Linked DNA regions of Macaca fascicularis. Each later gene encodes a partner of the first gene's protein in a complex. Links are inferred from orthologs where the notes say so. Each region holds a gene or a part of one and is shown on either strand. Other genes may lie near its edges.

The links.
Region 2: GTF2F1 (region 1) and POLR2G share a complex: the UniProt entries of both Homo sapiens proteins name them as parts of the TBP-based Pol II pre-initiation complex. The link is inferred for Macaca fascicularis from reciprocal best matches to the Homo sapiens genes GTF2F1 and POLR2G.

The regions. Positions count from the first base shown.
Region 1 is NC_088393.1:7,158,476-7,161,195, reverse strand, and holds the end of GTF2F1 (general transcription factor IIF subunit 1), read left to right. Parts: intron 1-30; coding exon 31-150; intron 151-311; coding exon 312-385; intron 386-466; coding exon 467-605; intron 606-811; coding exon 812-929; intron 930-1,016; coding exon 1,017-1,221; 3' UTR 1,222-1,915; downstream 1,916-2,720. UniProt on the Homo sapiens protein: TFIIF is a general transcription initiation factor that binds to RNA polymerase II and helps to recruit it to the initiation complex in collaboration with TFIIB. It promotes transcription elongation.
Region 2 is NC_088388.1:11,291,729-11,296,211, forward strand, and holds the start of POLR2G (DNA-directed RNA polymerase II subunit RPB7), read right to left. Parts: upstream 2,907-4,483; 5' UTR 2,822-2,906; coding exon 2,553-2,821; intron 1,264-2,552; coding exon 1,104-1,263; intron 1-1,103. UniProt on the Homo sapiens protein: Core component of RNA polymerase II (Pol II), a DNA-dependent RNA polymerase which synthesizes mRNA precursors and many functional non-coding RNAs using the four ribonucleoside triphosphates as substrates.

The DNA.
Region 1 (2,720 bases):
TCTGCTCTTGCTCATACCCTGTCCCCCCAGGTGTTGATGAGCAGAGTGACAGTAGCGAGGAGAGTGAGGAGGAGAAGCCACCCGAGGAGGACAAGGAGGAGGAGGAGGAGAAGAAGGCGCCCACCCCGCAGGAGAAGAAGCGCAGGAAAGGTGCGGCCGGTGTGGCCCATGTTGGAGGCTCGGGTCAGGGCCTGGTGCTCTGCTGCCTCCTCCCCTCTCCCCTGCAGGCCTCCCTCATCTGCAGTGGAGGTACCGGTGGATGCCGGGTCCCAGGGTTGCTCTGGCCCTGACCCCTTTCCTGTGCCCCGCAGACAGCAGCGAGGAGTCGGACAGCTCAGAGGAGAGCGACATTGACAGCGAGGCCTCCTCGGCCCTCTTCATGGCGGTAAGGCCCAGCCCGGTGACAGGGGAGGCCTGGGCGTCTGTTTCCAGACTCACACCCCTCACCCCACCCTGACCTCCGCAGAAGAAGAAGACGCCACCCAAGAGAGAGCGGAAGCCGTCGGGAGGGAGCTCGAGGGGCAACAGCCGCCCAGGCACGCCCAGCGCAGAGGGCGGCAGCACCTCCTCCACCCTGCGGGCGGCTGCCAGCAAGCTCGAGCAAGGTGAGCGCCTGTGGCCTCCCCACTCCCACAGCCACGGCCTCCCGACCTCTGTTGGGGCTTAAGACAGAGAGGAGATGGAGATGGGGGTGGAGGCCTGTCTGTCCCCAATCCCCCTGAACCCTCATCCTGGCACTGCCCAGCCTGGGGTCCTGCTCAGGGATTCGGCCTCCTGCCCCCAAGACTCAGCCCTGACCCCACTCCCACAGGGAAGCGGGTGAGCGAGATGCCTGCAGCCAAGCGGTTGCGGCTGGACGCGGGGCCCCAGAGCCTGTCCGGGAAGTCGACCCCCCAGCCGCCATCGGGCAAGTCAACACCCAGTAGCGGGTAAGCTGATGAGGACGGCAGGGGGCAGGGCAAGCGCTACCGGGGACAAGCTCACTGATGCCACCTTCCCCGCCCTCCCATCCTCAGCGACGTGCAGGTGACTGAGGATGCCGTGCGCCGCTACCTGACACGGAAGCCCATGACCACTAAGGACCTGCTGAAAAAGTTCCAGACCAAGAAGACAGGGCTGAGCAGCGAGCAGACGGTGAACGTGCTGGCCCAGATCCTCAAGCGCCTCAACCCCGAGCGCAAGATGGTCAACGACAAAATGCACTTCTCCCTCAAGGAGTGAGGCGCCGTCCGGCACACGGCCCTGCCCCCGAACTCAGCCTCTCACTGCCCCTTCGCCATCCTAGAGTGAGGCGCTGTCCGGCACACAGCCCTGCCCCCAGAACTCAGGCTCTCACTGCCCCTTCACTATCCTGCTCCCTGACTCCCAGGGCCCCATAGTTAGCAATTCTGGAAAGGTTAAGCCATCTCCTCCTCTGGCTCCTCCTGGAATCTTCAGATGCCTGTTAGACCTTCTTACTGTCCTCCTTCTCCTGGCTCAGCCTCCCTCACACTGACCAAGGGCCCGTGCTCCCCACTTCCACAGTTCTCCCTTCCACTCCCCTAGTTCTCTCTATAGCCATGACTTGTCCACCGCACAGCCCAGGAAGTCTTCAGTTTGGGCTGGGTGTGATGATACGCGCCTGCAGTCCCCGCTACCTGGGATTCTTAGCCCGGTTCAAGGCTGCAGTGAACTTTGATGGTGCCGCTGCACTCCAGCCCGGGTGACAGAATGAGATCCTGGCACACACACACACGAAAAAGTAGCCAGACATAGTGGCAGGCACCTGTGATCCCAGCTACTCTGTAGGCTGAAGCACGAGAATCACTTGAACCTGGGAGGTGGAGGTTGCTGTGAGCCGAGACCACGCCACTGCACTCCAACCTGGATAACAGAGTGAGACTCTGTCTCAGTAAATAAAAAAATAAATTGCTGAGATTTGTTTCCTTTTTAGATCTGCTATTCTGCTAGGGATAAATGTCTTGTTCCTTATGTTTTGGTCCCAACTTTCATGGTTTTATTTTTATTTTTTAGTTTTTGAGACAGGGTCTTGCTCTGTTGCCCAGGCTGGACTGCAGTGTCCACTGTCTCAGCTCCCTGCACCCTCCACCTCCCGGGCTTAAGCCATCCTCCCCGCTTAGCCTTTCAAGTAGTGCACACCACCACGCCCAGCTAAGTTTTTAATTTTTTGTAGAGGTGAGGTCTCACTGTATTGCCCTGGCGAGCCTTGAACTCATGGCTCAGCCAGGCATGTACGATTATGCCTGGCTAATGTGTTTTTGTTTTGTTTTGTTTGAGACAGAGTTTCACTCTTGTTGCTCAGGCTGGAGTACATGGTGCAATCTCGGCTTACCACAACCTCCAGTTCCCTGGCTCATGCAATTCTGCCTCAGCCTCCCGAGTAGCTGGGATTACAGGCACCCGCCACCACGCCCGGCTAATTTTTGTATTTTTAGTAGAGATGGTGTTTCACCATGTTGGCCAGGCTGGTCTCGAACTCCTGACCGCAGGTGATCTGCCTGCCTTGGCCTCCCAAAGTATTGGTACTACAGGCGTGAGCCACTGCACCCAGCCACGCCCGGCTGATGTTTTTATTTTACGCATCCTGACTTTGTAGTCTGATAAACCTAGAAGCTGAAGTTCCCAGGCAGCCTTCTGTTTCTTGTGACTACCCTTGGTGATAGATTTTCTTGTGACTTGGGATCGTATGCTCATGGCCAGCTGGGGGCTCTGTGGGAATC
Region 2 (4,483 bases), on another chromosome or scaffold:
CATCATATTGGCCAGGCTGGTCTTGAACTCCCAACCTCAGGTGATCTGCCCACCTCAGCCTCCCAAAGTGCTGGGATTACAGATGTGAGCCACCATGCCCAGCCTAACCTTTCATTTTAAAGTATTAAAGAGCTTAGGCCTGTTAGTCCAAGATTTGAACACCTGTTGGCCACATGATCTTGGCCAATACACTTAACTTCTTCTAAGCTTCAGCTTCTGTAAAAAGCACCCACTGGCCGGGGGCAGTGGCTCACGCCTACAATCCCAGCACTTTCGGTGGCTGAGGCAGGCAGATCACCTGAGGTCAGGAGTTTGAGACCAGCCTGACCAACATGGAGAAACCTCATCTCTACTAAAAATACAAAAATTAGCTGAGCGTGGTGGCGCATGCCTATAGTCCCAGCTACCTGGGAGGCTGAGGCAGGAGAATCACTTGAACCCAGAGGCGGAGGTTGTAGTGAGCCAAGATTGTGCCACTGCACTCCAGTCTGGCGACAGAGCTAAACTCCATCTTAAAAAAAAAAAAAAAAGGAAAGCACCCACCTTTTAGTCATTGTGAGTCTCTGCACTTCACCTGGCCCACAGTCACTACTCAATCAACACAGGCTTTTATTGTTATGACTATTAATGTTGACTCTTGCCCTCTGAGTTGGGCAGGGAAGATTACCATACAATTTGAAAGTGCAGCACAAGAAGTAAAGTGATGGCTAGGCGTGGTAGCTCACACCTGTAATCCTAGCGCTTTGGGAGGCCGAGGAAGGCAGATTGAGCTCAGGAGTTCGAGATCAGCCTGGGCAACATGGCAAAACCCTATCTCTACTAAAAAAATACAAAAACTTAGCCGGCAATGGTGGCACCTGCCTTTAGTCCCAACTACTTGGGAGGCCGAGGCAAGAGACTCACTGGAACCCAGAAGGCAGAGGTTTCAGTGAGCCAAGATGGCACCACTGCACTCCAGCCTGGGCGACAGAGCAACACTCCGTCTCAAAAAAAAAAAAAGAAGTAAAGTGACTTAGCTGAAGGCACAGTTATGAAGTGGAGCCAGGACCCAACCCAGATCTACTGAGAGACTACCCCAATGCCTCCCCTACGTATGGTCTCACCTTGTTGACCTGAGTTACAACAGCATCCACGACCTCCCCTTTAAAGGGCCGGAAAACAATGGCCTTGTACTTAACTGGATAAAGGACAAAGCCTCGGCCTGGCTGGATCACACCAGCACCAATATTGTCAATGGTGGTGACAGCAATTACAAAGCCATACCTGCAAGGAGGATGAGAAACAGAAAGACATTGTGTGTCCAAGAGCCTCTAGAGACATCTGCAATAAAAGTCACTGAGCTCTTGGGAGTAGTGTCGGGGAGAGCAAAAGGACAAGTAGATAGCACCTCTGCTCCCAGAGAGCTTAATGACCAAGAGAAGACAGAACACAGATCAGTATGGGCTGGGCGCGGTGGCTCAAGCCTGTAATCCCAGCACTTTGGGAGGCCGAGACGGGCGGATCACGACGTCAGGAGATCGAGACCATCCTGGCTAACCCGGTGAAACCCCGTCTCTACTAAAAAATACAAAAAACTAGCCAGGCGAGGTGGCAGGCGCCTGTAGTCCCAGCTACTCGGGAAGCTGAGGCAGGAGAATGGCCTGAACCCGGGAGGCGGAGCTTGCGGTGAGCTGAGATCAGGCCACTGCACTCCAGCCTGGGCCACAGAGCGAGACTCCGTCTCAAAAAAAAAAAAAAAAAAAAAAGAACACAGATCAGTATGTATAAGACCAAATGCTGTTCTGGTAATTTCACAGTAAATGTACAAGAAGGCTGGAGTCCTTGAGGAAACAGATCTCAATCTTCGGGATGCCTGAGAATCATCTTCTTAAAATGCAGATTCTCAGGTCTGCCTCACAGAGTCTTGATTCTGTAGGGAATAAGGAGGCTCAGGAATCTGCATGTTCCTGCAGGTTTTTCTGATGCTGGAGGCCCAAGTACTCCACTGCCCTGGGCTGGGTCCCAGCTCATTAATATCACAGAAGGCCCTCAGTGCAAAGCCCAGAGATGGTCAAGTCCCAGTCTACTTCCTTCCTCCCCCAAACTTTCGATCCACTTTTTCTGGTCATCCATTCAGAAGATATATAGAGGCCCACGGTGTGTGGTCCCTGGACACAGGGGATAAGAGAAAACCAGCAGAATGACAGAGTGAGAGGAGACACAGGAACAATGACTACACTGTGAGCTCCACAAGAGCTGGCCTCATTCTATCTTGTTCCCATTCTACCTTGTTCTGAGCCCAACACGGGTCCTGGCACACACCAAGTGTTTTTAAAATGTCTGAGGAGTAAATGAATGAATGACCAATCTCAGCTGAGGGAAGGAAGTCTTATTGTCCAGCATTGCAGAGGGCGCCCTGGGAACCCAAAGCAGGAAGCAACTGGCTGCCTGAGAGGGTGAGCGGGGTCCCTAGAGTGGGTGGCAGGACTAAATAGGAGTTGCGGAGGGTTTGCAGGTATAGCGACCCGTGTGCGCATCGAACGATCTGGCGGCACGGTGAGCTCGGCACTCACTTCCCTGTGCAGGTCCCCTCCACTTCGGTGAAGAGCTTCTGCTTCACCGTGTTGAGCAAGTTGGGGCCGAAGTAGCGCGGGTGCAGCAGGATTTCGTGCTCTAGGGAGATCTGCGGAGAAAAGAGGGATGGCGACCAGGCCACGCGCTGGGAGCTTATCAGACGACAAGGGGAGCCTCGCGCCGGCGCCTGGCCTTGCTCCTCCTTTCCACCCAGCCCTTGCCGCCACCCTGGGCCCTGCTCACATGGTAGAACATCTTCCCAGAGCATGAAGGCAGGAACAGTCCACACCTCCGACCGCCCCTGGGAATCTACCGGAAACACACTTAGCCGCCGCAACCCCAGTTCCGCGCCTGCTGCGTCGTTGAGAGCGGAACTCCACCTCCTCAGCGAGGGCGGAACTCCACCTGCTCCACGGGTCTGATTGGGCCTTGTAGCCGTGGGCGTGAACCACTAAGCCCCGCCCCTCACCACCGCCCCGCCCCCCCACCGGCCATCAAACCACAACTCTCTTTTTTTTGTTTTGAGACGGATCTGGCTCCGTCTCCCAGGCTGGAGTGCAGTGGCGCGATCTCGGCTCACTGCAAGCTCCGCCTCCCGGGTTCGGGCCATTCTCCTGCCTCAGCCTCCCCAGTAGTTGGGACTACAGGCGCCCACCACCGCGCCCGGCTAATTTTTTGTATTTTTAGTAGTGACGGGGTTTCACCGGGTTAGCCAGGCTGGTCTTGATATCCTGACCTTGTGATCCGCCCTCCTCAGCCTCCCAAAGTGCTGGAATTACAGGCGTGAGTCACAGCGCCCGGCCAATTTTGTGTTTTTAGTAGAGATGGGGTTTCTCCATGTTGGTCAGGCTAGTCTCAAACTCCCAACCTTAGGTGATCCACCCACCTCGGCCTCCAAAAGTGCTGGAATTACAGGCGTGAGCCACTGTGCCCGGCCAGCAACTCTCTGAATTGCTTGAACCTGGGAGGCCACTGCACTCCAGCCTGGGCAACAAAAGCGAAACTCCATCACAAAAAATAATAATAAATAATAGCTACCACTTACTGCTTTCTTCCTAAATGCCAGACACTGTGTTAAGCCCTTTATATAATTATCTCCCTTAATTCTCATAATAATCTACAGAAATTGGTGTAGAAATAACAAAAAATTTACATGAGCCTTAGTCGAAAGGCCAGGAAACTACAGAAAATAATGAAATTTAGGCTGAGCGCAGTGGTTTACGCCTGTAATCCCAGCACTTTGGAAGGCGGAGGCGGGCAGATCATGGGGTCAGGAGATTGAGACCATCCTTGCTAACACGGCGAAACCTCGACTCTACTAAAAATACAAAAAATTAGCCGGGCGTGGTGGCATGTGCCTGTAGTCCCAGCTACTCAGGAGGCTGAGGCAGGAAAATCGCTTGAACCCGGGGGGCGGAGGCTGCGGTGAGCTGAGATCGCGCCACTGCACTCCAGCCTGGCAACAGAGCAACACTAAGAAAGAACGAAAGAAAGAGAGAGAGAGAAAGAAAAAATTTAAAAGCTATTGCAATCCCAAAAAATATTTTAAGCCTCGAGAGAGATATGACTGTGAGTCACATATAGTTTACAACTTCTGTTCTCAGATTATAGATTAATTCACTTTCTTTTTTTTGAGAGGGAGTCTCGCTGTGTCACCCAGGCTGGAGTGCAGGAAATCCATGACTATTTCATCCTCTGTTAAAAAAATGTTACATACCCCCGGCACCATGGCTCACGACTGTAATCCCGGCTACTTGGGAGACTGGGGCAGGAGAATTGCTTGAACCCGGGAGGCAGAGGTTGCAGTGAGCCGAGATCGTGCCACTGCACTCCAGTCTGGGAGACAGAGCAAGATTCCCTCTCAAAAAAAAAAAAAGTTACATGTGAATCACAAGGTCAGAAGTTCAAGACCAGCCTGGCCAACATAGTG